Danio rerio: one gene and its partner. The main gene of each other region encodes a partner of the protein of the gene in region 2 in a complex. Links are inferred from orthologs where the notes say so. Each region holds a gene or a part of one and is shown on either strand. Other genes may lie near its edges.

Region 1 (2,573 bases), on a different chromosome or scaffold from region 2:
TGCAACTAAATGAGAATAAAACAGAAGTGTTAATTTTAGGTCCTGCTGCTACCAACAATTCAATTAAAACTCAGCTAGGAGCCCTAAACGACAATCTGCACAATCACGCCAAGAATCTCGGAGTTATCTTTGATCCACTCTTGCAGTTTGACAAACATGTAAATGCAGTTGTGAAGAGCAGTTTCTTTCAGCTTAGATTGGTGGCAAAAGTTAAACGCTTTCTTTCTAAAAAAGATTTAGAAATCGTAACCCATGCTTTAATCTCCTCTCGTTTAGACTACTGCAATTCTTTGTATATTGGCCTACCTCAGTCAACACTCTCTCGGCTACAGTTGGTCCAAAATGCAGCCGCCAGATTAATAACAGGAACTAGGAAAAGAGAGCATATCTCCCCTGTCCTTGCCTCATTGCACTGGCTACCTATAAAATACAGGGTTGATTTTAAAATTCTTCTTTTCACTTATAAAGCTTTGCACAATTCTGCCCCGGCCTATGTCAGCGAGCTTATTAGGCCATATACAGCTCGCAGATTCTTAAGATCACATGATCAGTTTTTTTTGTCTGTCCCTCGGTCTCGCTGCAAGTCAAAGAGTGATCGTGCTTTCAGTGTTGCGGCCCCAAGGCTCTGGAATAGTCTCCCTCTGAATATCAGAATCTCTCCTTCTTTGGATGCTTTTAAATCTAACTTAAAGACACATTTTTACTCTCTTGCCTTTGACTGATGCTTGCATGTTATTTTTGTATTATTTATATTTTAGTATTACTTTTAAATATATTTTATTGTATTTTTAATACCAGTTATTTTTAGTTTTATTGTCTAGTTTATTTTATTGTAAAGCACTTTGGATCAACTACGGTTGTGTTAAATTGTGCTCTATAAATAAAGTTTGCCTTGCCTTGCCTTGTCTATTATGGGTTTTTGAAAATGACCTTCCATGTAGTGTGTAACAGCTCTAAGTGAAGTGAAATATACAGTCGACTCATAATGGTTCAAATGAATCACCACTGTAACGAGTCTTTAGCAGTGTCTGCGTGATGCCAAACACTGTAGCAAATCCCGCTTGAATCAAGTCGTGTAGACGCTGTCCTCTGAAGTGTGAGGGGAAGTTAGTGTTACTACCCAAAGATGAGGCTGTGAAAAGTCGGTGGTTGAAGTTTATTTTTGCAAAAATATGAACCATGTATTGTATAATGACTAATAAAAGCCCATCTCTTTGCAGCGATTGACATGTGGTCAGCAGGGGTCATACTGTTGTCTCTACTAAGTGGCAGATATCCTTTCTTCAAAGCCAATGACGATCTGATCGCTCTTACTCAGATCATGACCATCCGAGGGTCTAAAGAGACTATAGAGGCTGCAAAGACCTTTGGTAAGTCATTATCTTAAGAGTCTGGATGATGTTGTATTCTCGTATGTCCTGCTGACTCGATGTGTGTCTGATTGCAGGTAAATCCATAGTGTGCAGCCGTGAGCTTCCTCGGCTGGACCTCAGGATTCTCTGCGAGACTCTGAGAGGTTTGCGATCGTGGGATGATGCCTCTCTTCCTGCTGAGTTTCAAGCCTCACATAATCCAGCAGAAGAAAAGGAGGAAGCGGAGAGTCCTGCACTGAAAAGCACAGGCTCCCGTTTGTGTAGAAGCAGTGCAGAGCTGAAGGAGATCGGCTGGGACAGAGTGCCGGATGAGGTGTACGATCTACTCGATAAACTGTTAGATTTAAACCCCGCTACCAGGATCACAGCCTCGACGGCACTGCAGCATCCACTCTTCAAAGATATGAGTGAGTAGTGATTGTGCGCATCCACGATTTTGAGTTATTCTGTAAAGTGTTTTTTGAATGTGTTTATTTGCTAACAACATGTTGTACAGTGATGTATTTATTTTTATATTTTGGAGAGTTTCATTTTGATAATAAAGTTTGAATTGTCCGTTGTTCAACTTTAGAGGGTTTCCTAATTGGATGGTTTACTCAAATATTCAGTGTTCAAGTATTTTGTAGATAAAATAAATTGTGAATATTTTGGAAAGTGACAGACTGTTTCATGTGTTCAATATTTAGCAAAAAATATATTAATTACTCATAATATATATGATACAATTTTTTAACCATCGGGTGCTTGTGGTCCTCTAAATCAGGGGTTCTCAACTGGTTTGGCCATGAGACCCACATTTTTTACATGGTCATTAAGCCGCGACCCAAATTTTTTGGAGCTATAATACAATTTTAGGAATTATACTTAATTTGTATTTGTTTGTTAACATAAACAAGCAGTGACCGATAGATCATAAGAAATTCACCAAGACTTACAAATAAACTATATTTTATTGCTGTCATTTAACAAAATGGTGCAAATTATAGAAATATTACAAAGTAAAAACGACAAATACTGTAAATAATAAACTCTTAATAAAACATGTTTTCTGGTTTCTGAGTGTTGTTTTAACATAGAAGGTTGCATGCTCTCTTATGAGAGCACCTCACTACATATGACACTGAGGCTTTAAGTCTTTTTTGTCGTCAATATATATATCCATACTTTACATATTTGGGGTCGTACTTGCGCTTCAACATA
Region 2 (4,458 bases):
TAAAATGTATTTTACTTCTTTTATTCAATCTTGAATTTTCACAACCATAACTCCAGTTGCAGTGTCACATGATCTTAAAAAAAAAAAAAACGTTTATTCATCAAGGACACAGTAAATTGATCAAATGTGATTAAAGTTTGAGACATTTCTAAATGAAACAAAAGATTTTGTTTTTAAATAAAAATGTTTTTACTATTCACTAGAGAGTCCTGAAATGTAAAATCCATCATGGTTTCCACAAAAATATAAAGACTAGTAATAATAACAATTATTAATGATTGAGCACCAATAATAATTTATCTTAACAAAGCAGCAAATCAGCATCTTAGAATAATTTCCTAAGAATAATTTCACATAGCCATTCTTGAAAATCCAGCATTGAATCAGAGAAATAAATCACATTATCAAATACAGTATAATAGAAAAAAAGTTATCTAAATTTGAAATAATATTTCACGATAGTACTGTTCACCAAATAAATGCAGTCATGCTAAGTTTTTAATTTTAAAACATTAACCAATCCAAATGTTCTCAAATGTTTGACTAGTACTATATATAAATGCATAATTTTGGTATCTATTTAGTAACAACGTGTTAAAGTACAATATTGTGTATGGTACAGTATTTTATGCTACATTTAAAAGAAAAACGCACAATGTAAATGATGAATGTATCTACATTTACTGACTCTAACAAAATACGGTAATAAAATAGCATACAACTCAGCTTTTTTTTAAAAAAAAACATAAAAGGTATACATCTATATATTTATCCATACATAACAAATGTGCAGTCTCTTACCCAAGAGTGATGTAATAATTGCCCCGGAGCAGGACGCCATCATCTGCTGGAAGGGTGTAATGTCCCCCGGGGGACCTGGAGAACTTTCCTGACAGCTCATCTCAAAGCCTGCGATCGAGAGGGAAAAAAACAGATGAATCTGCATTCACAAACTTCATTAACCTCAGTCTTCAATGAGTGACAGCCAAAACTAAACCTTGCCTTGATCATGTATAATCAGCCCTTATTGCATTGACAGTTTCCAGTGTATCATTACAACTGACAACTGCTGAGATTTAAAAAATGATGTAAATAGCATACGCTATGTAACCCCGAAAGAAAAAAAGCAATGTCATCAATGCTATCCAAAAAAAAATTACGAATTCACGTGAATCGTCATGACTTTCACGCTTATTCACCAGTGTGCGCCATTGCGCTTACCAAATATGCCATGTGTTTATCCAACTGTGTGTTTCGCACTGGCAGATTCGTTACTTCCGGATATTTAAATTTTGCCGTTGAACTAAACAGACGTTCGTCGACATGAAAGCGCATCGAAGTTATAGTTTGCATATTTCATAGTAGTTTTAAAATAAACATTCTACATAAAATTCAGAGTATTTATACAAGTGTAGTTAACGGTAAACATTAACATTTTGAGGTGAAGTTTTTTTAAAAACGTCAAAACATATTCGTCGAATCTCTCTTCACGAACGTCAAGATTACTCAGGTTTTGTGGGAGTGGAGAGAAGTCCCCTCGAGCGGGAAAATGGAAACAGCCTGCGTTGAGTGTTTGTTATGTTGATATTTACAAACAGCGGATGCATTTAATGCAGTGTTGTGTTTTTGTGTTGTCTTTTAATCAACCAACACTTCGAAGTAATGTTGCTGCATGTTGGCGGTTTAAAAAGCAGGTTTAGCCGAGTTTAGGGCTGTAACCGTTACAACCAAAATCTCCATTATGAAACACGACTCTTTCTCCAGGTTTAAGGACCGAGGTGCTGTGAAGCTCTTTAAACTTATTGTTGACTAATGATATGTGTCGTTCTGATTATTTTGTAACAATAGTCTCTCATAATAATGATGTTTTGAGAAACGTGCATGCTGTTGTTTATTGCGTAACGTAACTTATCGATGTGCGTGTTTTGAACTTCGGCTTTTAACCGTTCAGTTGTGATGTTCATCTTCACAGACCCCAAGCTGGAAGGACACAACTGTGCATCATCTAAAAGCAGAATTAAATCAACATGTGATCTTCAGAACAAGCCATTTAAAGGCAGAATATTTTACTTGGATCTTCCTTGGAATATGAAAACCCAGCTGCTGGAAAATGACATCAAGACACTTGGTGGTGTAAGTGCTCATAATTGTTATTTTCACATCCAGGATAATTATTTGTAGACAATTGTTTATTAGTTTATCAACAAACGTAGATCAGCCATGCATTGTAATATATATGCAAATATGCTCCTCTTAATATTAGACAACGCTTATTCTGTCCTATACTTTTAATAAGTCATCATTCAGTATGGATGTTTCCCAGTACTGGGTTGCAGCTGGAAGGCCAAGTGCTGCATAAAACATATGATGAATAAGTTGGTGGTTCATTCTGCTTTGGTGACCCCAGATTAATAAAGGGACTAAGCCAAAAAGAAAATGAATTTATCATTCAGTTTTATTGTGACTTGAATTTGTACAATTTTGGCAAAGTTTTTTTGCTTGTTTAAATTTATAATTACAATTAATTAGTAATATTTGCCTCCACTTGGTGATTCTTGTTTAAATTTATAATAATAATAATAATAATAATACATGTTTAATCTTGCCTATTTAAAAAATATTTTGAAATCTGTTTATTTAAAACAGTGCACGTCTTAATAATTAATTATGGCTTATATTATTTTTGTGTGTGTCTGTCTGTGTGTGTGTGTGTGTGTGTGTGTGTGTGTGTGTGTGTGTGTGTGTGTGTGTGTGTGTGTGTGTGTGTGTGTTTTTTTTTGTATTTTTCTGTAGTTCTGTTCTATGTTGTCTGTCTTAACCAGGACTTCCTGGTAGAAGAGATATTGTATCTCAATGAGACTTTGATTAAATAAATAAAATAATGTATGAAACTTATTGTACAGGGTGTCTGCAGGGTTTTAAAAAGTATAACAAGTTGATAAATCAATGCAAAGAAATTAAAGGCCCTAAAAAGTATTTAAAAAAATATTTAAATGCTATTTTTAAGATATTTAATTTAATATAATTTTTGATTATCCAATGTATGGTTGTATACTTAAGTTGGGCTAAAACAAATCTGTGAATATCAGGATGCTGTGTAGTTAATAAAATCAATAAAATCCTGCTATATTTGACATAAATGCTGCTTTGTTTACTGCGGCAACCAAATAAAGACCATTATTTCTTGAGTTCTATAGGCGCCAACCTGCTGAATTAGCTAGATTTATTTGATTTTTATTCAGTATTTAAATAATGTTTTAGTTTTGGATTAGTTTCTTTTGTTAATATTTAGTAAATATTCTGTAAGTTAAAATCTCACAAGTGCTTCCGGTTGATACCTAAAGTGTTTATAATATATGGAAGGAGTCTTTAAAAGGTCTTAAAAGGTGTTGAATTTAACTCTCTGATTTCTGTTTACTCTGTTGTAACACTGAAAAACATTTAACTCGTTGCCTCCTGCAAATAATGGTTAAATCAAATTATAGACTCCTTGATATTGTACTTGTTAATTGAAATAATAAATATAAATAATAAAAAAATGTATATTTTTTGTTTAAGTTAAATAATATAATAACACAGTAATATACATCAAATAGGCATGGGCCGGTATAAGATTATGGCGGTATGATAACCTTGGATAAAAATATCACAGTTTCACTGTATTGTGATTACTGCTCTAAAATGTTATTTTTAAATGTCTGTGTAAAAAACCTTTTTCCCCCTTTAAACACAATAAATTTTATTTTGAGAAACATTTAAAACAGTTTGCAACAGTAAACATTTTAGGCTGAGTAATTAAAATGAATCTTTGACTTCTGCTGTTTTCATTTATTTAAAAACAGATTTCATATCTTTTCTGCTGGAGATGCTGTTGTCCTAAAAAAAAGTTTAATAAACAAATCTTACATAAAACATAGGAACAGTATAGCAGAATAATTTGGCGGTTTTAAAACCTTGACTTTTCAAAACCGCGGTATACCTTGAAAACGGTTATACCATGCCTAAAATCAAATAATAGACTCTTTAATATTGTACTTGTTACTTCTACTTTAAACCACACTACAGTTTCTGCTTTATTTAAACAGATGTTTTGTCTGAGAACTGATGAGTAGGCCCATATGGAATCTATGCGCGCAGACTTTTAGCCCATCATTGAGTCTACTTATTTACTTGTGTAAATATGTGTAAATTTTAATCTATTCAGTTTTTAAATTAATTTCCGTAATAATATTGACAAATGAAAGTGTTTCTTTGATTTATTCAAAATACAATTTGTTCAGTAATATTTTCTGTCTTTTAGTAAAGATATTATATGATAGTCTTGCTTTGTTTACTGAATAAGTGGATCAAGATGGTTTTGCGTTGAAAATTTTTAATAAAAGTTAAAGTTTATATATATATATATCTATATATCTATATATACATATATATATTTATATATATATATATATATATATA

The links.
Region 1: the proteins of dbf4 (region 2) and cdc7 are in contact, whole or in part, in a crystal structure (PDB 6YA8), measured with the Homo sapiens proteins. The link is inferred for Danio rerio from reciprocal best matches to the Homo sapiens genes DBF4 and CDC7. Residues at the interface, in NP_006707.1 of Homo sapiens: Thr210, Arg211, Thr212, Gly213, Arg214, Leu215, Lys217, Pro218, Phe219, Val220, Lys221, Val222, Glu223, Asp224, Met225, Ser226, Gln227, Leu228, Tyr229, Arg230, Pro231, Phe232, Tyr233, Leu234, Leu236, Met239, Pro240, Ile242, Asn243, Tyr244; in NP_001127891.1 of Homo sapiens: Asn56, Val57, Phe58, Ala77, Gln78, Leu79, Gln80, Ile87, Ile93, Pro94, Thr95, Ser96, His97, Pro98, Ile99, Arg100, Ile101, Ala102, Leu105, Gln106, Thr109, Lys121, Tyr122, Cys123, Phe124, Arg125, Asn127, Asp128, Val130, Leu143.

Annotation. Positions count from the first base shown.
Region 1 is NC_133177.1:11,288,401-11,290,973, reverse strand, and holds the end of cdc7 (cell division cycle 7-related protein kinase), read left to right. Parts: intron 1-1,220; coding exon 1,221-1,370; intron 1,371-1,447; coding exon 1,448-1,788; 3' UTR 1,789-2,027; downstream 2,028-2,573. UniProt on the Homo sapiens protein: Kinase involved in initiation of DNA replication. Phosphorylates critical substrates that regulate the G1/S phase transition and initiation of DNA replication, such as MCM proteins and CLASPIN.
Region 2 is NC_133191.1:47,573,672-47,578,129, forward strand, and holds the start of dbf4 (protein DBF4 homolog A), read left to right. Parts: upstream 1-1,489; 5' UTR 1,490-1,741; coding exon 1,742-1,778; intron 1,779-1,972; coding exon 1,973-2,133; intron 2,134-4,458. Other genes in the region: mitochondrial glutathione transporter SLC25A40, read right to left, coding at 802-901. UniProt on the Homo sapiens protein: Regulatory subunit for CDC7 which activates its kinase activity thereby playing a central role in DNA replication and cell proliferation. Required for progression of S phase.